Linked DNA regions of Arabidopsis thaliana. Changing the gene in region 3 together with the main gene of any one other region gives a genetic interaction. Each region holds a gene or a part of one and is shown on either strand. Other genes may lie near its edges. The genes, in order: FAS1, AG, ICU2 and TFL2.

Region 1 (7,026 bases), on a different chromosome or scaffold from region 3:
GCTCCTAAATATAAACTTTTGTGATTCATACGAATGTAATTCGAAGAGAGGTTAAAAACAATGAGATTTTCAATGAGAAAAATAGCATATTTTTTTTTTGGTTCAATAAGTAATAGATTTTTGTTCAGCAAATGTTCGTTAGAAATTATGGAATTTTTATTTATAATATTTTTGAACCCCAAATCAGATAAAATTTTTAAAAAATATTTTTTCACCATAAGTTTTTAATGTTAGAATTATCTTATATTGGAAGTGGAAATGAATGTTAGGAACAAAAGTCTTTAACATAAAAATTTGTGCCTTTAAAATAGCTCTTAACTTTCATCTCCACGTTGATTAATTTAGACCATCCTGTGTTGACGTTGAGTTTGTGATCTTTTTCAATGAAAACAAATATCTAGTGTAATTTTTTTTTTTTTGACGTAATTACTTAGAATATTTAAAAGGGTCTAATTGCACAAGTTTTATGCCGCCATTATGAATAATAGCATAGGTTGGATATTTTAGATAATTTGTTGCAATATAGTGATGTATTGCAATAAATATAAACGTTTAATCGTTTAAACGCACCATTTAGTGTCATAATTTACGTAAATATCGTTTTTAAGGTTCCAACTGCACAAGTTTTTTATGCCGTCACCATAAATGGTATAAGCATGATATTTTCTAGTATAATTTGTTGCAATGCATCACTATTTCCTAAGTTTTTCAAAAACATTATATACAGAATAAATTCAAATAGCATTTTACATTATACTAATTTGTTATTAAGCCTTTAAAACGCATTATTTAGTATGAAGCTATCAATGTATAATGTATCATATCATGCAAATGGCATATCCAAAGGGAGATGAAGAACGTCAGAAGCATGACGAGAGATGCTTGAGCCGTGAGGGTAGCCTCGTGGGAATGAATACAAAAAGCTCACACATAAAAGTAGCATTTTTAATGGCCACCAAATCTTATCACCCTTTTTGGGATATTTTTAAAAAATTTTGAAAATAAAAGAAATATTCTTTATCTGATTCCTATTACTGAAAAGTGAACACTGAATAAAACGTCAGTTCATTGGTTTCTCCTATTTTTACAATTACAGAAAATCATCTCTCTATTTTGTTTTGTTATTTCGTTTAGTACAATGCCGCAAATAAAAACACTAGCCATTTAATAACTCACTTTGTTTGCTTATTGAATTGTCCAACCAATTACTCATTCTTAATTAGTATGACTGTTAGTATCTTTTAGAAGAAAATTAAAGCGAAGAATTATAATTCAAACATTTTTCTAACGACAAATTAACACGCACTACTACCACATCATTCATCATCAATTGATTCCCTCATATGGTCAGTCAACAACATATGCTCAGTGAACAAAAACCTCACCATCTTCTCTCCCTCCCTTTTCTTGCTACAAATCTTCATTTCCTTTCACTTTCTTACCTCGTTCATAAATCGTATCCAAAGTATTATTCGGTTTCATTCGGAGCTCTTGCTCACCATGACCGTATTAGGCTTAAAATTAAAATTAAAATGAGTAATTTCTAGTCTCTATTTATATAACCGCATCCGCATGAGTATTTAAAATTAGTAAATTCTAGTCTCTATTTATATGTCATCCCAATTGTTTCCCCCACTATATTGGGCTTAAAAGAAACAAAAGCAGGCCCACATAGGCCTTCATCTTCTCCAAAACTTGAGTGGCGCCAAACAGTAAAATTGCATTTTTGTCATTTGGAGGCAAATCCACCCGTCAAAACCTTGGCGGGAAAATCAACGACCCTTCTTTTTAGTGAATCCCCAATTTTATTTTTTTATCCTTTTTTTTTTTCAAACCTATCCATCTTCCCACTCCCTTCTTCTTCTTCTTCTCCAAAAACCTAAGAACTCTGAGAAAAAAAAAATCCAAAATCAAAATCACGAAAGGAACAACAAATCTCCACTCAGCTCGTGTTTCTCGCAATCGATTTCTTAGATTCTAGATCTTGTTTCAATTTTCCTGGGTTTATAGATTCCCGAATTTTTCTAGTTTTTTTTTTTGCGATGGACGAAGTTTCGACGGTGAATGAAAATGAGAATCGGAAGACGATGATAGAGCCAAAGAAGCTGAATAAGCGGAAGAGAGAACCCACGGCGATTGAGAATCTAACATCTGAGGAGAAAGAATCTCAGATCTCGTCGTTGAATCTAGAGATGAAAGGGCTTTTTGATTATTTCAGAGAAGTTATGGATAAGAGTAAGAGAACAGATCTGTTTTCTGGATTTAGTGAATGTTCCTCATTGAATTCGATGGTGGCTTTGTTAATGGAGGAAATGAGTTTGCCGTTGTCGAAGCTTGTAGATGAGATTTACTTGAAATTGAAGGAGAAGACTGAAAGTGTTACTATGGTAGCTGTGAAGAGTGCTGTTGTTTCTGTTGGTCAGAGAGTTAGTTACGGTGTGCTTAACGTAGATGCTGATGTTTTGGAGGATGATTCTGAATCTTGTCTTTGGTGCTGGGAGGTAATCTTAGTTTGCTAATCTTACAAGTTTTGATCTTTGAATCTAATGGTAAGTTTGGTGTGGTTTATACTCTTTGGTGATGTCATTTAATGTTTGAGATGTAATGTTTATTTGATGTTGTAGACGAGAGATCTGAAAATCATGCCGAGTTCCGTTCGTGGAGTGTTAAAACTTCGCCGGACTTGTCGAAAGAAGATTCATGAAAGGATTACAGCAGTTTCTGGTAAATGTTGTTTTTAGTGGTGATTCGTATTGATTGTTTGTTTATAAGATGTGAGTGTTTATGCCCTATGTTGTGTTTCAGCAATGTTAGCTGCATTACAAAGAGAAGAAACTGAAAAGTTGTGGAGATCTGATTTGAGTAAAGCTGCTGAGAAGCTTGGTAAAATACTGAGTGAGGTGGATATTCGATCATTCATGGATAACATGATGCAGAAGAACAGCTCAGAAATGTAAGTATCTTCTGTTAGTACTTGGTTTACATTTTATCTCTTGTTTTTCATTCTTACTCAGTTATTGTGTTTGATCGTTAAGGGCTGAGAAAGACTCAAAGAGAGAAGAGAAGCTGCTTCTTAAACAATTGGAGAAAAATAGATGTGAAGCTGAGAAGGAGAAGAAGAGAATGGAACGTCAAGTATTGAAAGAAAAATTGCAACAAGTAAGCTGATCTTTTTCTTCATTGTCTTCTAGAAGTCTTTTCTGGCGCTGTTTATTCTCTTTTAGTCATCTAGGATGTGTTGTTTGATTTCAAAGTCTGACTTCTGACTGAGCATTTGTTCACTGTGACAGGAAAAAGAGCAGAAGCTACTGCAGAAAGCAATTGTTGATGAAAATAATAAAGAAAAAGAAGAGACAGAGTCAAGAAAACGGATAAAGAAACAGCAAGATGAGTCGGAGAAGGAGCAGAAGCGTAGAGAGAAGGAACAAGCCGAGCTAAAGAAGCAACTTCAAGTACAGAAACAAGCTTCAATCATGGAACGGTTTCTTAAAAAGAGCAAAGATAGTTCATTGACCCAACCCAAACTTCCTTCCAGTGAAGTAACTGCTCAGGAGCTGTCATGTACAAAACATGAGAATGAAATTGGAAAAGTTGTTCAGGCAATTGACAACGCCTTTTCAACAACTTGTGAAGCTACAGTTGATGATATTCGCAGGTATGACATTGGTTCTCCTTGTTGATTGATTCTGTGAGGTGTCACTTTGGGTATTGTGATCTGAGTTGTATTTCTTTGTAGGGAACACTTTGCTTCCTGGCGTCAGTTGGGTCATTTGCTCTCGAGTTCGAAAAAACATTGGGGGATGCGTAGGCAGCCTAAGAGTGAACTGTTTCCAAAACTAAAACTATCTACAAATAGTGGAGTAACATCTGACGGTGAACCTAACATGGAGAAGCAAGGGGATGGATGTGAAGAGAATAACTTTGATGGTAGGCAGTGTAAGCCTTCCTCATCTAATCGTAAGAAGTCCAGGAGGGTCAAGCAGTTGTTACAATTTGATAAAAGCTGCAGACCAGGCTTTTATGGTATCTGGCCCAGCCAAAGGTTAGTAATTATTTTGAAAATTTTCATTTCAGCAGTAAGCTTATATAATATAGATTATTAGTTAGCCAAAAAGCCTTGACTAACTGCAAGCTTTCCCCTGGGTTTGTTTGGTACTGTTTTTTGATATTAGCTTTGTTGCGAAACATTTTTCAATTTTCACTGCATAAGTCATAAAGTTTTCCGATGCTGCCTATGTGACTACTTTTTTCATGGTGTTTAATAAAGCAGATGATAAATGACCTATGAAGTAAACATACTTTTACGCTACTTTACCCTGTTCTGATTCCTTAATTAACTAACCATCGTCTATGTTGGATCTGTGGTTATTATCGTCCAATGCATTTCAATTTGGATTGAACAATCATTGTAGTGAACTTGTAATGTACAGAACGTTCTCTGTGATTCTGATACGACAATACCATTTGTTATTCTGATATGCATCTAGCTGTTCAATTAAGTAGTGTTCACTCTCTAAGTTTGCTTACAATGGTACTGAGGGATCTGTTGTTTAACATTTGCAGTCAAGTTGTAAAGCCACGTCGTCCTCTGCAAAAGGATCCAGAATTGGATTATGAAGTTGATAGTGATGAAGAATGGGAAGAGGTAGGTTTATTGAATTCAGTACATGCTTTTTAAACTTGACAAAAGATCACTGGGTAATAAAGATACTTCTTTACAGGAAGAAGCTGGTGAAAGCCTTTCAGATTGTGAGAAAGATGAAGACGAAAGTTTGGAAGAAGGATGTTCAAAGGCTGATGATGAAGATGATAGTGAAGATGACTTTATGGTGCCTGATGGATATCTCTCAGAAGATGAGGTAACAAAAGCAATTTTTAATGAACTCGTCATAGATTCTTATAAATCTAGGTTGCAATCTAGGAATCTGCTGAAGTCAAATTTGCATTTCTTTGTAGTATCCAAACTATTGATCAAGTTACAACTTGAATTCCTCATTCATTCTTATAATTGATCACTCATTTTCTTTGAGCATGTGCCAATTTTGTGAAGGGGATAGTTAACTAAAGGCAGCTACGCTATAACGAATGTAAAGTTTCTTAACAAAGTGTGTTGTTTGTTTCAGGGGGTCCAAGTGGACAGAATGGACATTGATCCGTCTGAACAGGATGCAAATACGACATCATCTAAGCAAGATCAAGAAAGTCCAGAGTTTTGCGCATTACTCCAACAACAAAAACATCTGCAAAATTTAACTGACCATGCTCTGAAGAAAACGCAGCCACTGATCATATGTAACCTAACTCATGAGAAGGTCTCTCTCTTAGCTGCTAAAGATCTAGAAGGGACACAAAAAGTAGAACAAATATGTCTGCGAGCTCTCATGGTGCGACAATTCCCTTGGTCTTCTCTCATTGAGATATCGATCAACGACATTCAAGATGAAGATCAAGAAGCCAGCAAGTTTTCTTGTAGCCAGAGCACTCCTCCATCTAATTCAAAAGCAAAAATCATACCAGACTCAGATTTGCTTACAGTTGTAAGTGGATCTCTCCAAACAAATAACATTGTTTATGTATTGCTACTTAGCCCTAACAAGAATTTGGCGTCCAGGTATCAACTATTCAATCATGCTCTCAAGGTATCAATAGGGTAGTTGAAACATTACAGCAGAAGTTCCCTGATGTTCCAAAGACCAAGCTTAGACAAAAAGTGCGTGAAATATCAGATTTCGAGGATAGTCGTTGGCAGGTTAGTTAATACTTCGATCTTCTATTTTGAGTTTTTTGCCTTGAGACATAGTTGCTTATCACCATTCCCGCGATCCTTTGTTCTAACGAGCAGGTAAAGAAAGAAGTATTGACAAAGCTTGGATTATCACCGTCACCAGATAAAGGCGGTAAGAGATTACCGAAAACGATATCTACATTCTTCTCAAAACGTTGTTTACCTCCATCCACAAAACCACAACCTGCAGTTGAAGACGCAGCAGAGAGATTGGAAAACGAAAATGCTTAAGTCTACTCACAGTTTCCATCTTTATTTTTTTGGTTACATCCATCCCTCAACTTGGCTAAATCCTTTTTGTTTGCTTCTTGTGGATATGTATAATGCTCAATATCGGTAAAAATGTTTGAGATGAGGGAAATGATAAAATGGTTTAAGTATTAAGAAGCAACATGAAATAGCGAGATGTTTTGTTCTGTTAAAAAGGCTTTAAAACTTGGGAGTAATCATAAACCCTTATTTTATAATACGACACCGTTTAAATCGTTTTCACTTCTTCTTCCTCGCGGTCTCAGCCTCCTCCATCTTTTCTTCTTCGCAAGTTTTCTCACGACTTCGAAATCAATCTGTCTACAAAGCTATATTATGTATATAGAGTTCATTGTAAATATTCTGGTTTTGTATAGTTTTAACTGGAGTCTGTATAGGTTGGTTTAGCTGGTTAAGAGGCTCTGGTTTAGGCCTGGTCAATTGTATATAAACCCCCAATTGTAACTTTTACCAAATTAATGAGAATGAGATTATTTACTAATAAGCTAGATTACATGTTAAGATCTCCAAACAAATAACATTTCTCTTAATATATATTGCTACTTATTATCTTTAACAAAATTTGGAGTCCATAGAGGCAGAGAGATTGGAAAACGCGCGAGTTTAATTAAGACTCATAATTTCCATCTTTTTTTTTTGGTTACATCCTTTTTTCGGTTTCTTGTGGATACAAATGTATGATGTTTATATAAGATCGGTAAAAGCGTTTTAGGTGAGGGAATGATAAATGGTTAAGAAGAAATGTTTTTATTCAGTACTCAAAAGTCTCTATAAATTTCCTTTACGTACTTCCATATCAAATCACCTTTAAATCTTTTGTGCTTGTTTATACTTAGAGAAAGTAGCAGAAAATAGATGTTTTATAACGTTCACTTTTCAACCGTATACAAATATAAAATACCATAATGTGTTTATAATCGTCAAAGAAGTAAAATAAAGCAATAGCAATGCAAAGTGAAGCCATCACGAAA
Region 2 (7,942 bases), on a different chromosome or scaffold from region 3:
GTTTCTTTTATAAATGACCTAATCAATTTCCATACATACAAGCATACATGTGACGTAAAGGAAATCTAATTATGTACTAATTTGTAAATTTTACTAGTATTCAATTCAGTAATTCTTACTAAACTTACTTTAACTCTTGCTAATTAAATATACTACTAGAGAAGGTAAATTACATGCAGTTAAGCTATACTATTTTTTCTAATTGCAAGAAAGAAAGAAAAAGTACAAAAGAAAAGAAAGCACATTGCAAGTGGATGTATATATAGTTATAGGGAAATAAATATGAATATGGACTGTATATACATATAGGTTTCTCTTATCTCTATCAAATTACCTTAAATGGGTTCATAAAGATGGAGATCAAAGACTACACATCACATGCTACTCTCCCTCTTCTTTTGGCATAACCTTACTCCATTTATACATTGTGCTCCTCAATTATTCAACATTTTTTAAAAATAACTTATTTAACAAAATGTTAGAAAATATCTACCCAATTTTTTTCTTCCACATACGAGCTACAAAGATCTTTATCAAATAAAACAAGAAAGATTATTAATCCATATTTTGGGTTAAATTTTAATCCATTTAGCCAATTAGGAGAACTATTTTAACAGTTAGATACTTTTCAACAAAATTTATTAAGTAGTCACCTATGTATATTCATATAGTAGTTTCACAAACAATATGGAGAGCTGTGATCTTGAAGAGGGCGACAAAAGTCAAAAAGAAAATGTAAAAAAAGAGAGAGAGATTAAAGTAGTTGGAGAAGAGAGAAAAGTCTGGTTACCTTCTAATTGAGTCAGAAGCATTACACTTAAATAACTTTCCAAATTAAGCCCTACGTCTTGTCCAGCCCCTTAAAAGTACGCTTCATCTCCCTATTTCCCCTATAAACCCTAAAACCCTATTTATCTTATTAATTTATCATTTTTTTTATATGTCAATATCACAACAAGTAAACATCATCAACTTCAAATCTCACTAACATAAATAGTATGCTAATTTTCTTCACTATCTGAGTAATTTTCTCCTTCTTTTTACATCATTCGATTCTATATTTGCCACACCATTAAATAGATAAGTATATTGGTTCTTACTACTAATAATCAGTTTAGCCATATATCTAATTACACAGTTTTCTTTTATATGTTACTTTATATTTGTACACCATCAGTTACTATATACGGAATAAATTACACCTCATCATGTAATTACAATATTATCATAAATTTTTTGAAATTCTATTCTTTAATATTTTCAGTATCCAGAATCCATTTTCTTATATTTATTCTGGCAAAATAATGTAAAATGGTATCAAATATACAACACCATATATTTGTTTATAAATAACTTCCTTAATTAGTGAAACAAATTTTCCTGCAGAATGTCACTTAAATCTTTAAAACAATTCACAAAAGAAAAGGGAATAGAGCTGAAATTTTTTCCTCTTTAAAAAGATCAAGATTTAGTAAAAACTAGAAACAAAGAAGAAGATCGATATTTGTTGTAACAAAAAAATGTACTGATCAGATTTACCCAAAGATTTTAGTGCCTCAAAAACTTTCACATGAAAAGCAAAGACAAGTAATGGTAAGTAGAGTCTGCATCTCATGAGTGATTGCCCAACTTGAACCCTCTTTTCATTTAGACCTTTGTGAAAGACCACACAAGAACTACCCACCAATAACTCTCTCTTTTTTTCTTCATTTCCAAAAACTATTTATTCATTTCTACAATTTCTCAATTTGGGGGTGTCCTTAATAAGTATTATATTTATGAAAAGTCCGGATGTATGGTGGGTGTTATTTATGGTAATTAACACTATTTATTAATAATATTTTTCATGTGATTTCAAAAGCTGATGTACTCATGCTTTGTGAACCTTTAGATTGCTCTATGTCAATCTTTTATTTTAACCTATCATATGTCTAAATGTACTGAAAAGAAACACCAGTTTAATTAATTATACTTCCCTCATATATAACTATCAACCAAGTACAAAACTTTTGTCAATTCTCAAAATCAACTTTCACCACATAATTATCTAACATGTGTATGTTCCAAAACCAGTTTAAATAGAATTACTTTTCAGAAAATACATGTATATTAACTCTATCTAATAAAGAAGAAACACATACTTATCTCATAGATTCCATTCATAAAACTATGCTTTAGTGAGTAAGAAAACCAGTAATCAAACACAAATTGACAAGACACTATATGGATGTAAAAAGTGGGGAAAAATGGTGATAAATAGTAGAGAAAATTAAAAAGAAAAAAAATATTCCTTTATAAATGTATATACCCATCTCTTCACCAGCACAACCTTACCTTCCATTTTCTGCAACTTCTCCAAATCTCATACTTTCCAGAAAATCATTTTCCCAAGAAAAATAAAACTTTCCCCTTTGTTCTTCTCCCCCCAACAGGTCAGGCTAGTATTTTGTTGTTCCCCAATCCTTTCAAACATTATCTTCTTCATAATATTACTTTGCTTCACTTCTTTTGGTCCTTAAACCAAATTTTTGTTCTTCTTTAGTTTCCTTTTTTCCCGTTTTGATTTGATTCTTTTTATGTTATTTAGAGAGAAACAAGATTCACAAATTCTCTGATCTTCTTTAACTCTTTAAAACTTTTCTTTTTCACACTCTAGATTTAAATTATCCCTATGGTTACAAAACAATTTTGTTCTTAGTTTATAACTTGTGTATTACCATCCTTTCTTGATTAACTCTTGTTAGGAGAATATGAATGTAAGATCAATAAAGTTCTTCAACTTTATAATTCCTTCTATAAGATGTGTGTCGGCAACAGAATTAAATTAAATCTTTATAGTTTAACTTTAATCTCAACCATAATTCAAAAGAATAGAAAACATGAAGAATCTTGAGTCTTTTCAAGAAAATCTTGATTGGTTTTTTGTTGGATTCTTGTAATTCTGTACTAATCAAATTTTGCCCTAAACGTTTTTGGCTTTGGAGCAGCAATCACGGCGTACCAATCGGAGCTAGGAGGAGATTCCTCTCCCTTGAGGAAATCTGGGAGAGGAAAGATCGAAATCAAACGGATCGAGAACACAACGAATCGTCAAGTCACTTTTTGCAAACGTAGAAATGGTTTGCTCAAGAAAGCTTACGAGCTCTCTGTTCTTTGTGATGCTGAAGTCGCACTCATCGTCTTCTCTAGCCGTGGTCGTCTCTATGAGTACTCTAACAACAGGTTTCTTCTTCTTCTCGTGCTCTGTTCTTACTTTATTAATAATTAAATTATTTTTAAAGTCCGATTTAGGGTTTTATGTTTATGTTAAAGCATAAATCTTTTACGAGGGTTTTCGATCTTCTAAGCTAGATTTGATTCTCTTCTTCTTGAATGCTCTTATGGGTAGGATTATTTTTCACTTTTTTCCTTCATATTCCACACACATATATATATAAACACACTAACATTAGTGGGAATATTTGTTTGATATGTTTATTTTATTTACTTCGGGGGTTTTTGTAACAATTTTGTAGATCTAATTTCTTGTTCTTCATGTGTATATTAATTTTCCCTTAAGACTTAAATAAAAAGAGAGAATTTGTTATATATAGATATATGAAGTGAGGGAAATGGTACAAAGTTAAAGGAGATCTGAGTGAGAGTTAGATAATAAATGAAAAGAAATAAGAAACCATCAGGGTTTTTTCTAATGTGGAGTTTTAGATTCAGTTTTGTAGAACTAAGATTCACTTTGTTGGGTGTTCTTTCTTCACTCATTTCTGTTATTATAATAATAATAAAATCTTATATCTTTCTATTTTCCTTACTAACAAGTACTTGAAGATTTAGATATATTTATAGATCTGGTGTTGTAATAGGTAAAAACTTGATTTTTATGACTATAAAAGTAAGTTTTGGGAAACAAATTGGGGAGAGAGTAAGGAAGGACTATGAGGTCATATCTTCTGTTTTGTGATCATCCATCCTCCATTGTTGTTAATGTCTGTGTCTCTCTTTTTCTTCTCTTCTTTCTCTTACTTTCCTTTCTTATCTCTAGCTCTCTTTCTCTCTCATGAATTATATCATATCATATATTTGATACAAACACATGTGATGGTAAGTGAGAGTGAATAAGGTGAAACTAGCTAGATTTTTGAGTTTTCATGAAATTTTAACTTATATGAGTGATAGAAAATAATGGAACTTATACGTACATGTAGGACAATTTAGATGGTTATCTAAGTTTTTGTTTTTGTTTTCTCTTGAGAATGTTAAATGTTAGTGTTATTTTTGTAGTTTTGGAAAATTATATATGAGCTAAGATTAGTTTAGAAGTGGTCAAAAGAAACATAGATTTGAAATTTCAACTGAATTTTCAAGATTTCAAATAGTCAATGAAACAAGGAGGTAATTAAGACAAATTAGCTTATGGGGACTCTTTTTTGTTATTCCTTAAAATTACTCTTTTTAAAATTAAAAATAACTAATCTCATTTCGAACTACATTACTCAAACTAGTAATCTCTAATTCGACACGCAATTTCCAAATACTTATTAGTAGAGAGTCCCACGTGATTACTTTCTTCTCCACCAAAACATAAAACATGTCAAGATTAAATGGTGTTTGAAAATTAAAAGATCAATTTTCTTAATCGTTTACAGTTGTCAACTCTCATGTCCTGAAATATATAATTCTCATGTCCAAAACAAGAAAAGCTAACAACGACTTCAAATTAAATCAGTCAATCAAAATTAGTCTTCATTTACCTACTAATTTCTTTTTATATATCCGATGGGTACTCTACGAAATCAGAGTTTCGTTTCTTTATTTATTTTCTTTTATAAGATTTTTGAGGTTTTTTCAGAGGTTGGAATTGAGCGCAAGATTAGGTTTTGGGTCTGTAAGATTTGTTGTCTTTGTTAAAGAATCTTTGATCACGTCATCACTCAGATATTATTTCTTTTTATTTTTCACTTGTATTTTTACTAATTTATTATAAAGTTTTGTTAGTTTCAGTTCTTGACTTCTGACAAGAAGGTTTTATGTCATAATGAATTAATTTGTAACCTATTTATAAATTCAAAAATGTCATCATATTACTACTTTTGACCATTTAATATTAGATTTCTCATTTGGTCAATACCCAATGTTCATATTACATATATAGAGACAAAAATTATAAGGATACTAAATTGTTCATATTTCTTGGAAGTAAAAAGATTAATGATCACTGAATAAATAGATTTGGCATAGAAGTATAGCATTGGAATTGCTTCAACATCTTTGGTGTAGATAGATTTATGCAATTTCTCTTTCTTTTTGAAGTATCTTTTTTTTTTCTAGAGAGAGAATAATGTTAGGGATTTTTATCATTTTCTCTCTCATTATGGGTACTGAGAGGAAAGTGAGATTTTTAGTACGGATCCAATAGTTTAAGAGTTTGGTCTGCCTTCTACGATCCAAAAAAATCTACGGTCATGATCTCTCCATCGAGAAGGTTGAGAGTTCAGACATCAAAGTCTATAATATGTCATTGTAATACGTATTTGTGTATATATATCTATGTACAAGTACATATACAGGAAACTCAAGAAAAAAGAATAAATGGTAAATTTAATTATATTCCAAATAAGGAAAGTATGGAACGTTGTGATGTTACTCGGACAAGTCATTTAGTTACATCCATCACGTTTAAATTTAATCCAATGGTTACAATTTTAATACTATCAAATGTCTATTGGATTTATACCCAATGTGTTAATGGGTTGTTGACACATGTCACATGTCTGAAACCCTAGACATGTTCAGACCAATCATGTCACTCTAATTTTGCCAGCATGGCAGTTGGCAGCCAATCACTAGCTCGATAAATTTAAGGTTTCAGAGGAATTTTAATTTATTTAGGGTTCATATTGTTTCATAAAATGATTCTTTATTTGTTACAACTTTAAGGAAATATTTTATTAACTATTTAATTGTTCCCTTTTCTTATATTACTTTTGTTTTTTCTTCACATCATGTGTCACATTAAGTTGCATTTCTTCTGACTCAAAAGAACCGATGTTTGCTTTTAAGGTTTCGTATTAGAATCACTTAACTGTGCAAGTGGTCGATTTGACCCTATCAATTTTATTTTTTATTACTTATCAAAATGCAGATTTAAGCGTAGATTAAGTTTAGAAAATAGGTAGTTAATAGGTCTAATTAACTTATTAATTCCTTTAAAAAAATTATTGCAGTGTAAAAGGGACTATTGAGAGGTACAAGAAGGCAATATCGGACAATTCTAACACCGGATCGGTGGCAGAAATTAATGCACAGGTAAGTGGTAACTTAATATTACACGAATGATTTTAATTAATATATGATGACATGACAACATTGTTCATTCTTTTACTCTTTTTTTTTTTGTTGTTGTTGTAGTATTATCAACAAGAATCAGCCAAATTGCGTCAACAAATAATCAGCATACAAAACTCCAACAGGTTAATTATCTAACTGACTTGAAATATTTGATTACTTGGTTGTTATTAACTATTTGATATATTAACATATGTTGATAAATCAATTAGGCAATTGATGGGTGAGACGATAGGGTCAATGTCTCCCAAAGAGCTCAGGAACTTGGAAGGCAGATTAGAGAGAAGTATTACCCGAATCCGATCCAAGAAGGTAATTCTATTTTTTTTATAAATGCTTCAATATAATATCAAATTAAATCTATATGCCTTGTTGCTAATTTTTGTTTAATTTTACAGAATGAGCTCTTATTTTCTGAAATCGACTACATGCAGAAAAGAGTAAGAAATAAATCTTAACTTAATTTCTATTCTTAATATGTTCTTATAATAATTTTGCTCATTTGCATTGCACCGATTAAGCAGGAAGTTGATTTGCATAACGATAACCAGATTCTTCGTGCAAAGGTAAAAGTACACATTATATATCAATTTCTATAATTTTCCCTATTGTTTCAATAAATATTATATGAAAACGATTAAAATGGTGAAAGTACTTGTAGATAAATAGTTTATGACATATATTTGTGTAATGTAGATAGCTGAAAATGAGAGGAACAATCCGAGTATAAGTCTAATGCCAGGAGGATCTAACTACGAGCAGCTTATGCCACCACCTCAAACGCAATCTCAACCGTTTGATTCACGGAATTATTTCCAAGTCGCGGCATTGCAACCTAACAATCACCATTACTCATCCGCGGGTCGCCAAGACCAAACCGCTCTCCAGTTAGTGTAAGGACACAAAATCTTGCTCCGATCAATCATTCTAGTCTTATATTATTAATCGGTCCATTTTGTAAAACTTGACAGCATGGATTTGGTCTTTTATGCTGTTTTGTAGGTAATATAGGCTGAAGGAAATGGCCGGGAGTGAATAAAAACCAGAATTGGGTTGAGCAAGCAATATAAAGCTAATGCATGTTATATATATATTTATCCCATGAATGTTGTATCAGTGAATTTTATGCTTATGTTGATGTGAAATTAATATCTTAAAGACATGTCATTAATGTGCTTAATTTGCTTCAAAACATCTATGTGTATAAGTGTACTATTAGTTCAATTGTTGTATTTAATTACCAATTCCTGCTCTATTAATGATTTTATTATAGAAAAGTCTCAATATGATAATGATATATATTCATGTGCTGAGTTCCATCCTCCTCCTCCTTCTCCCCATGTGGTACAGTTGCAAAATGTCGAAACATTCGTTCATTTTGTAGCTGCCTACCAGGAATACATTCACCACCCGGTCTCAATATCTCGCGTCTTGCTCGGTGAAAACACATACAAGAGTATTAACCATATTTTCTTTAAATGCACATACAATAGCTTATCTCTGCCTAGCTTCATTTCGTAAACCAAGAGCAAACATTATCGGATGGCTCCATACCTGTTCTCAATAAATCATGGTCATAATCAAGCTCATTTTCCTAGCC
Region 3 (4,762 bases):
CGAAGGGAACTCTCCAGGAAACAGAGATGGAAAACTGAAACTAACTCTGTTTCCAAACGTTAGGGTTCCTTGAAATTGCCTACCAATTGTTCCCGCTCCAACCGTCATAATCCACGGCGCTCCGTTAATCAAACTCCAGTAATATGGCCCGTCGTTACCGCCGGAAGTAACCACGAAAACGCCTTTTTGAATCGCTGCAAAAGATGCGACTGCGATTGGATCATTTTCTAGACCGAAACCATCATTGTCGTCATCATCCTCAAAACTCAATCCTAGCGACAGAGATATCACATGGACTCCATCTCGAATCGCTTGATCAATCGCTGCGATTACATCTGATGAGTAAATCCCTTCTTCCCACGCGGCTTTGTAGATTGCTAGATGCGCGTGTGGTGCGATTCCTGAGGCGGTTCCTTGGGCGTAAGAGAAGTAAGACGCGTTCTTAACATGATTCCCAGCTGCAATGGCTGCAACATGAGTGCCGTGTCCGATTGTATCGTACGGTGAAGAGTATTGGCCAATCTTGGTTTCTCTCAAATCAGGGTTGTTGGCGAACAAACCCTTGTTGAATACCTTAGCACCGATTAGTTTCTTGTTGCACAAGGAAGAAGAATTGAATTCACATGCTCCTTTCCATTTAGACGGAACCGAACCAACCCCATCGTCGTGAAAGCTGGGACTATCGGGCCAAATTCCGGTATCTATAATACCGATTACTATACCAGCTCCATAATTCGAGACCGGCCATGTACCGGATGTCGAATTTAAACCGATAAACTTTGGAGAGAAAGTGGTATGAAGCTTAACCGGTAAATCTTTGGTGAACGAGACATACCCGGGTTTGTGTTTAAGACGTTGGAGCTCAGAGTTGGTGAGAACCGCGCTAAACCCGTGAACCGAATCGGTATAAGCGTAGATAATCTTTGGTTTTCTATTGGTTATAACTGAAGTAAGAGTTGTGGAAAACCAGCTCCGATGATCGGAAAATGGCAACGGTTTAGCGGATAAGTCCATGTGGATGATGTAAGGAGAGGTCTCCGCCGTTACAATCGCTACGAAAAATGAGAACACCAGAATAATTACGACGGTCATCCCCATGTCTGAGCAAGTTTTTTTCTCTGGTCTCTTCAAAGTGAAATGAATTTTGGTGTTAGTAAGAAACAATTATAGTGTTGTTGTTAATAGATGTTTAGTTTTTATTATGACAAAAAAGTTGCAGAGAATGTAACCTTTACTTGGCTTTTGCTTTTGTTAAAGTGGTTTTAGGTGGTCGGCAACACATCATCTCTCATCATTGTTTTTTTTTCTTTTCTCTTTCAATTGGGCTTTATCATAGAGAACAATGATTTTGGATATGAACTTATTAGTAGTTTCAGCAATAGTTTAGACTTTCGAATCGGTAAATATCAGTAACTTAGAACTCAGGCTGAAACTTTGATTCTTTTACTGTATTTAGCTAGATTCTACACTTGGTGGACTCCATCAGCAATTACTTCACAGACCGAGGTAGCTCCTACAACTCTCTGATGCTTGATCTCGTTCAAATAGATGTCTCATAATTGCTTCTTTTTTGTTTTTGTTTTTGGGCTTTATTAAAGAGGAGTAAGGCCCATTAAGAGAACCCGTTTGTTTGTTGGATTCGGATTTGGCAAATGGATAGCGCCAAAATCGTGTCGATTTTCCCGCCATCTCCATTTCTTAATCTGGGTTCTTAAACCTAAATCAGTTACTCAGCTTCACCAAACCACCAAATTGACCGGATTTGTAAAAATGTCCGGCGATAATTCAACGGAAACTGGACGAAGACGTAGCCGAGGCGCGGAGGCGTCGAGTAGGAAAGACACACTCGAGCGTCTGAAGGCGATTCGACAAGGAGGAATCCGTTCTGCGTCAGGTGGTGGGTACGATATTAGGCTGCAGAAGCCAATCTTCGATACCGTTGATGACGAAGAGTACGACGCACTTGTTTCCCGGCGGCGCGAGGAGGCTCGCGGGTTTGTAGTTGAAGATGGGGAAGGTGGCGATTTGGGATATCTCGACGAAGGTGAGGAGGAGGATTGGTCGAAGCCAAGTGGACCAGAATCGACTGATGAATCAGACGACGGTGGTAGGTTTAGTGGGAGACTTAAGAAGAAGAAGAAAGGGAAAGAGCAAACGCAGCAACCTCAGGTTAAGAAGGTGAATCCGGCGTTAAAAGCTGCGGCTACTATCACTGGTGAAGGTAGACTTTCGTCTATGTTCACATCTTCGAGTTTCAAGAAAGTTAAGGAGACTGATAAGGCACAGTATGAGGGTATTCTTGACGAGATAATAGCTCAGGTTACTCCAGATGAGTCGGATAGAAAAAAGCATACGAGGAGAAAACTACCAGGTACTGTTCCAGTTACCATCTTCAAGAATAAAAAACTGTTTTCTGTTGCCTCGAGTATGGGAATGAAAGAGTCTGAACCAACACCTTCAACTTATGAGGGTGATTCTGTTTCCATGGATAATGAATTGATGAAAGAGGAAGATATGAAAGAATCTGAAGTCATTCCTTCTGAGACTATGGAATTACTTGGAAGTGATATTGTCAAAGAGGATGGATCAAACAAGATAAGGAAAACTGAAGTGAAGAGTGAGTTAGGTGTCAAGGAGGTATTTACATTGAATGCAACGATTGATATGAAAGAGAAGGATTCGGCTTTAAGTGCCACTGCTGGTTGGAAGGAAGCGATGGGAAAAGTTGGAACTGAGAATGGGGCTTTGCTTGGTTCTAGTTCTGAAGGGAAAACGGAATTTGATTTGGATGCTGACGGATCACTTCGTTTCTTCATTCTTGACGCTTATGAGGAGGCTTTTGGTGCGAGCATGGGCACAATATATCTGTTTGGGAAGGTGAATCTCTAGATTTTTCATTCATTTTTAAAGTTGTTCTTTTGGCCTTAATCTAGAGAATGAATTCGGTCTCTCTTTTTTTAACAATTCAGGTTAAAATGGGAGATACTTACAAGAGTTGCTGTGTGGTAGTTAAGAATATCCAGAGGTGTGTTTATGCTATTCCAAATGATTCCATATTTCCTTCCCATGAACTAATCATGCTCGAGCAAGAGGTGAAAGACTCTCGACTTTCTCCTGAATCCTTCCGTGGGAAATTGCATGTGAGTTTGACTACCTTTGTTACATGCTAAGAGGAAGCAATCTATTTTCCTCTGTTGTTCATTGTTTTTGGCTGTGTCTTCTCAGGAAATGGCATCAAAACTGAAAAACGAAATTGCTCAGGAATTGTTACAGCTCAATGTTTCAAATTTTAGCATGGCGCCTGTCAAGGTTTGGATATTTGACTTCTTTTTCATGTATTCTAGCAGCAATACTTTTCTTTTGACTCTCTATTCTGCTCTTTATGTACGAATATCAGAGAAACTATGCTTTTGAGAGGCCTGATGTGCCTGCTGGCGAACAATATGTTTTGAAGATAAATTATTCATTTAAGGTACATTTCAGCTGTTCAAAATAAAACTAAAAATCGTCTGTTTTCTTACATCTCAACAATATGACAAGTTTCCTCTTTTATAACAGGATCGTCCACTTCCAGAAGATCTTAAAGGCGAGTCTTTCTCCGCTTTGCTCGGGTCTCATACCAGGTTCTAGCTTCTTACTGCTGAGTTTCATTACCTTTCCATGTGTTTGGTAGTTGGTTTGTTAAGTTTGTATTTTCTGGTCTTCTGTAAGCTTCTTAGTTAACTATGTATGCTGGCTATGTCAATTTAGCACGGTGCAATTTTTTCATCCTTATCAAAGTTAATTCATATGCAGTGCTTTGGAGCATTTTATCCTTAAGAGGAAGATCATGGGACCTTGTTGGCTCAAAATTTCAAGCTTCTCTACTTGCTCTCCTTCGGAAGGAGTAAGACCTTAAATCTGTGCCATAATCATATAATCAGTGATTTTTCTAGTTCTGTTTATCTCCGCTAATGAGAGGACTTGCCACTTGTGCAGGTGAGTTGGTGCAAGTTTGAGGTTACTGTTCAATCTCCCAAGGATATCACTATTTTAGTTTCAGAGGAAAAGGTGGTTCACCCTCCTGCTGTTGTTACAGCCATAAATTTAAAGACTATAGTCAATGAAAAGCAGAACATAAGCGAAATTGTTTCTGCATCTGTTCTCTGCTTTCACAACGCCAAGGTTTGTTCTACAACATTTAACCAATGCTTCTTAGCCTTTTTTGTTGTTGTTGTTGTTGTCTTTGTGAAGAATACGGATGTATGATCATGGCATTACCAATCACCAGTAGGTTTTCGTACCATGTGGTTTTATATTAACGCTCATTTTGGACGATTGTTTCTTGCTCAAAAGACACTCTTTCTGTCTACATTAGTAGCTTGACATATGATGTGCGTGCTCCTTGATCTTTCAGATTGATGTTCCAATGCCAGCTCCAGAAAGAAAGAGATCTGGTATTCTGAGTCATTTCACTGTTGTTAGGAATCCTGAAGGAACCGGTTACCCAATTGGTTGGAAAAAAGAAGTGTCTGACAGAAATTCAAAGAACGGCTGCAATGTATTAAGTATTGAAAACAGGTGTGTTGCAGCTCTGTTACTGAATAGGCTGTGTTTGTGATCCTTCACATATATCTTTGGCAATTCATGTTGGCTTCGTCCAATATTTTGTTCCTTTTCTTACTGCAGTGAAAGAGCATTGCTGAACCGATTGTTTTTGGAGTTAAACAAATTGGACAGTGATATTCTTGTGGGACATAATATTTCAGGTTTTGATCTGGAT
Region 4 (4,809 bases), about 21 Mb from region 3:
AGAGTATGGTAGCATTAGTGAACTTAGCATCTTATTATGCAATTGGTGTTCCTTTAGGTGTCCTCCTTGTTTACGTTTTCAATTTTGGGATTAAGGTACATCATATATATGAAAACTGGTATCCAGTACTTCATTATGATCAATCATTAGAACTTTTAGAATTTTAACTTGAATAAATGATATTGTATGCAGGGACTCTGGTCCGGAATGTTGGCTGGAGTTGGTATCCAAACGTTGATATTGTGTTATGTTATTTACAAAACTGACTGGGAATTGGAGGTAATTTACTTTTAATATATAACTCAAAATTTTTATTAGAAAATTCGTCATATTAAATGTATAATTTTATCTAATTACAGGTTAAGAAGACAAACGAGCGTATGAAAACGTGGACTCTAAATTTACCTGCTGTACAATCGACTACTATCTCCACAAGAGATGAAGAGAGAAAGTGAACATACAACTAAGTTAATTTAAAGAAATCTTTTAAGAAATTCTTTATAAAAAAAGAAAGAATAATTTATGTTGTATTGTGGTTGTGTTTTGCATTCCCTAAGAATGAAGTATCGGTGTTGAGATTGCATTATTAGGTTAATGCAACTCTCATAACTTTGAAAAAGGTTAAGAAGGATGAACTTTTTCTTTTATCAGAGAAAAAGGTTGTTCTCTTGTTCTTCGGATATACTCTTTCTAAACAAAAAAAAAATTGTGGGAGGTTTGAAATTTTAACTTCTTTCTTGATTTTTTAATGGATGTATATTTTGTGTGTGGGGAAAAAAATTCCATTTGTTTGAGTGCTTGTAATCGTGAATTTTTACAAAAAAAATATTCTCATATATATTTCGAGGAAACGTTACAAACTTTCATAAGCTCACCATCAAATAAAATACTCATTTATTTATGTTGAAGTCAAAACGTTCCATTTTTCCCCCTATTTATGAACCGATCCTAATGAATGTTTTTTTTCTTCCTTTTTACTTCTTTCATATCACCATTTTAAATAATAATAGTAATTATTATTTTTCTAACGTTTAAACAAAAAAAGAACTGCAAATTTTATAGTAACAATTCAAATTTAACAAAGCGATCAAAACATGCATCATTTAGTGTACAAGTACTAATCACAAAGAAACAAGTTTTGGTTGGACAAAGTATAGAACAAACACACTAAACTGAAGAAAATAGAACTTTAGCCCACCAAAAGTTGAGGCTAAAACTCGAGCAGTAATCACATAGTTACTATCAAGATAACTATACTTTGGAATGAAAGAATCTGAATCTCGATGAAGTTTATCTTGGAGAAGGACTTTCTTTTCTGTTGGTTTGGATGAGATATTGCTGAAAATTATTGATGATGATGTTAGGAGATCCAACTAAGTTGTCTGCCTTTGCAGTGCACTTGGAGACTTGGAGTGAGAATCTTAGTTTATGAGACTTATTTTCTGATTTTTCAATCTCCTTTGATTTTTTTTTAAGTTGTAATAATGTCCTAGTTGATTTCCTTGTAAAAGGAGCAAGAGCACGATGTTCTTTTATTTCTAATTTAAAGAAAATGTTTTCAGTTTAATATATTTTTCGATTTAATTTACCTTCACATATTTTCTTCAGTAGTATTTATTATTTTCATATTAGTAATTAGAAATAATCTCTTCTAATTAGATTATAAACGTTAAGAATTTGCTGTATTCAACTTTTCCTATTGTGATATTAAAAAAAAAAAAAAAAAAGAGAATCCAAAAAAGTGAAAAAACTGGTCTTTGAGGTCAGGTCAGGTCTTCTTCCTGCAAAAACAAAAACCTCAGAAATAGAGAAAAAGTTTCAATCTTTCTTCATCTTCTTCCTCCAAAATCCTTGATTTCTAAAAAGGAGAAGAAGAGAAGAGAACGCGATTACCTTGATTCACCCTCCTCCTTCAGGTTTGGGAGGCTCGAATACTCAGGAAATGAAAGGGGCAAGTGGTGCTGTTAAGAAGAAACCCCAGGTGTTGAACGAAGCTGGTGAGGCGGAGACGGCGGTGGAAACAGTCGGAGAAAGCCGGAAAATTAGTGGAGACGGTGGGTTTGGCAGTGACGACGGCGGAGGGGGAGGTGGAGGTGGAAGTGGAGAGTCGATTCTTCGCGAGATTGGTGATGATAGGCCTACGGAGGATGGAGATGAAGAAGAAGAAGAGGACGAGGATGAAGATGATGGAGGTGATGAGGAAGATGAAGAAGGAGAAGGAGAAGGTGGGCAAGAGGAAAGGCCAAAGCTTGATGAAGGGTTTTATGAAATTGAAGCTATTCGTCGTAAGAGAGTTCGAAAAGTAAGCTCCTTTTTTCGTCTTCACTCAGCAAATGTGGTTTGTTTTTGTTAACCATAATTAGTTGAGGTTTTAGGTTTTCTAGGTTTAAGATAAGTATCAAACGTAGGTTACACATTGGTGTGAGAAAGTGGCTGCTTTAGTAGTTAGTAATCATCGTAACAGAGTAGTTTATAACGAACCAAAGTTTTGATTCTGTGGTTGTTATATGTTGTAGGAAGAAAATGATCTTTAATGTTTGATATCTTCTTGGATTTGATTGATTGAATGATTCTGATTCTGCATTTTGGTACTGTTTTTTTTTTTGTATTTGTAGGGCAAGGTTCAGTATCTAATTAAATGGTGAGTTTTTCTAATCTTACTTGGTTTCATTTTTAAGTTTGTTGTTCTTGATTAAACATATGTTTTTCCATTGACATAAGTTATAAACTCGGTTGTGAAAGGCGCGGATGGCCTGAAACTGCCAACACATGGGAGCCTTTAGAGAATCTCCAGTCTATTGCTGATGTTATAGATGCCTTTGAGGGAAGGTAAGTAAATGGAATCTTATATAAAAGTTTTGTGATACTTTTGAATTGATTGTTTCATGGATTTTCTTGGTTTAATGTATGGATTTGCTTTCTTGTTTCATATGTTTCAAAGTTTGAAGCCAGGAAAGCCTGGTAGGAAACGGAAGCGCAAATATGCAGGTCCTCATTCTCAGATGAAGAAGAAGCAACGTTTAACATCTACATCACATGATGCTACTGAGAAATCTGACTCTTCTACGTCTCTCAACAACTCTAGCCTTCCTGACATTCCTGATCCACTAGACCTAAGCGGTTCGAGTCTATTAAATAGAGATGTGGAAGCGAAGAATGCTTATGTATCCAACCAAGTTGAAGCCAACAGTGGGAGTGTTGGGATGGCCCGACAAGTTCGTTTGATTGACAATGAGAAAGAATATGATCCAACACTTAACGAGCTACGAGGACCAGTCAACAATAGTAACGGTGCAGGATGTTCTCAAGGAGGAGGCATTGGTTCTGAAGGTGATAATGTAAGACCCAATGGCCTTCTCAAGGTTTATCCTAAGGAGCTTGATAAGAACAGTCGTTTCATAGGTGCTAAGCGGAGGAAGTCTGGTTCTGTGAAAAGATTCAAACAAGATGGATCCACAAGTAACAACCACACAGCACCTACAGATCAGAATCTGACACCAGATTTGACTACATTAGACTCTTTTGGTAGGATTGCAAGGATGGGGAATGAATATCCTGGTGTGATGGAAAATTGTAATTTGTCTCAGAAAACCAAGATTGAGGAGTTGGACATCACGAAGATACTTAAACCAATGAGTTTTACAGCATCTGTATCAGACAATGTCCAGGAAGTGTTGGTGACCTTTTTAGCGCTGAGGTTTGTCTCTTTAGCTCTTTGGTCATTTCTCGTAATTTGATTTCATATTTGTACAATTGTACTTATTTGGTTACTCTCATAGGTCTGATGGGAAGGAAGCATTGGTGGACAACAGATTTCTCAAGGCTCACAATCCTCATCTCGTAAGATTATCTTTATAGCTTTTTTTTTCTGCACTTACTCATTTGGAAGTTTCTTATTAGCTTTTCTAATTTGTTTTTCCCACACCAGCTGATTGAATTCTATGAGCAACATCTCAAGTACAATCGAACGCCTTAAATCATCCGGAATGGTAAGAATTTGTTTGTACACAGCCCTTGTAGGTAGAAAAGATTAGATGGCTTCTTTATTCTAGCAGTGCAACATGTAGAGTCGAGGTAGCGACAATTGGATTTTGTATCGCGTCTCCGGGAGGTTTCAGATTGTAATTTATCTCCTCGGGTTCGTTGTGTTCACTCTCTATCTCTATCATAGTAAATCTTGTTACTTGGACCTTTGCTTCTTATAGCGGAAGTTTTCTTGTACTTGCTTCTTCAAAGATCAAGTTCATGATATGTTGATGTTATCAAAATATATGTGATCAATCAATATATAATAATTATGTTTACAAGCAAACCAAGTAATTTTTTTTACTTTCGTATGACATTTCGCTGATGTAATTTGGAATGACGCTCTCGAGCCAAAGGAACTGGAAGAAACTTGATCCTCTTGGGATTTAGTTGTTCCTTATGCAAGAACTCAGTTTCATATGCTCTTCTTTTCAAAATTCTTGCGTCATCAAATGCCTTTGGAAGATCCAAATCAGAACTCTGAATTTTGTCAGAGTCATTAGAGAACTCTTGCATCATGTCTTTGAGTGATATAAGGTGTACCGCACATTTTTTAACCTCTCCAAGCGGGCTAAAGGAATCTCCTTCTGTGTTTTCGACTGAGAATTCAAACAGGGCTTCGCTGTAAGCTTCCATGGACGTGCAGGTTCTGCTGAATAAGAGAAGGTGATCTGATCCAAAATACATGTTTGTGAAAGCTTTTGGATCAGGATACCACACCTCATCCATAACAACCAGCTCACAAGCATCAGCATCTTTTAATATACAAGAGCAGTGTATCTT

The links.
Region 1: of ICU2 (region 3) and FAS1, changing one enhances a phenotype caused by changing the other (phenotypic enhancement), as found in Arabidopsis thaliana (one study listed by BioGRID).
Region 2: of ICU2 (region 3) and AG, changing one suppresses a phenotype caused by changing the other (phenotypic suppression), as found in Arabidopsis thaliana (one study listed by BioGRID).
Region 4: of ICU2 (region 3) and TFL2, changing one enhances a phenotype caused by changing the other (phenotypic enhancement), as found in Arabidopsis thaliana (one study listed by BioGRID).

Annotation. Positions count from the first base shown.
Region 1 is NC_003070.9:24,318,896-24,325,921, reverse strand, and holds FAS1 (chromatin assembly factor-1 (FASCIATA1) (FAS1)), read left to right. Parts: upstream 1-1,830; 5' UTR 1,831-2,042; coding exon 2,043-2,501; intron 2,502-2,624; coding exon 2,625-2,724; intron 2,725-2,805; coding exon 2,806-2,953; intron 2,954-3,035; coding exon 3,036-3,159; intron 3,160-3,290; coding exon 3,291-3,655; intron 3,656-3,736; coding exon 3,737-4,042; intron 4,043-4,563; coding exon 4,564-4,645; intron 4,646-4,721; coding exon 4,722-4,859; intron 4,860-5,123; coding exon 5,124-5,537; intron 5,538-5,611; coding exon 5,612-5,749; intron 5,750-5,842; coding exon 5,843-6,016; 3' UTR 6,017-6,526; downstream 6,527-7,026. UniProt on the Arabidopsis thaliana protein: Component of the chromatin assembly factor complex (CAF-1) involved in chromatin assembly following DNA replication and DNA repair. Assembles histone octamers onto replicating DNA in vitro.
Region 2 is NC_003075.7:10,380,925-10,388,866, forward strand, and holds AG (K-box region and MADS-box transcription factor family protein), read left to right. Parts: upstream 1-1,931; 5' UTR 1,932-2,756; intron 2,757-2,987; 5' UTR 2,988-2,992; coding exon of another isoform or gene 2,993-3,116; coding exon 3,117-3,222; intron 3,223-6,057; coding exon 6,058-6,147; intron 6,148-6,221; coding exon of another isoform or gene 6,222-6,229; coding exon 6,230-6,303; intron 6,304-6,405; coding exon 6,406-6,467; intron 6,468-6,554; coding exon 6,555-6,654; intron 6,655-6,740; coding exon 6,741-6,782; intron 6,783-6,866; coding exon 6,867-6,908; coding exon of another isoform or gene 6,909-6,941; exon of another isoform or gene 6,942-7,038; coding exon 7,039-7,235; intron 7,236-7,344; coding exon 7,345-7,348; 3' UTR 7,349-7,615; downstream 7,616-7,942. UniProt on the Arabidopsis thaliana protein: Probable transcription factor involved in the control of organ identity during the early development of flowers. Is required for normal development of stamens and carpels in the wild-type flower.
Region 3 is NC_003076.8:26,775,224-26,779,985, forward strand, and holds the start of ICU2 (DNA-directed DNA polymerase), read left to right. Parts: upstream 1-1,729; 5' UTR 1,730-1,770; coding exon 1,771-2,877; intron 2,878-2,969; coding exon 2,970-3,140; intron 3,141-3,225; coding exon 3,226-3,309; intron 3,310-3,397; coding exon 3,398-3,472; intron 3,473-3,558; coding exon 3,559-3,623; intron 3,624-3,795; coding exon 3,796-3,886; intron 3,887-3,978; coding exon 3,979-4,164; intron 4,165-4,396; coding exon 4,397-4,560; intron 4,561-4,668; coding exon 4,669-4,762. Other genes in the region: AT5G67090 (Subtilisin-like serine endopeptidase family protein), read right to left, coding at 1-1,098. UniProt on the Arabidopsis thaliana protein: Polymerase alpha in a complex with DNA primase is a replicative polymerase.
Region 4 is NC_003076.8:5,826,671-5,831,479, reverse strand, and holds TFL2 (uncharacterized protein), read left to right. Parts: upstream 1-1,719; 5' UTR 1,720-1,942; coding exon 1,943-2,302; intron 2,303-2,615; coding exon 2,616-2,641; intron 2,642-2,721; coding exon 2,722-2,829; intron 2,830-2,941; coding exon 2,942-3,697; intron 3,698-3,779; coding exon 3,780-3,840; coding exon of another isoform or gene 3,841-3,858; exon of another isoform or gene 3,859-3,928; coding exon 3,929-3,976; 3' UTR 3,977-4,309; downstream 4,310-4,809. Other genes in the region: AT5G17700 (MATE efflux family protein), read left to right, coding at 1-95, 193-279, 360-455; AT5G17680 (disease resistance protein (TIR-NBS-LRR class)), read right to left, coding at 4,327-4,809.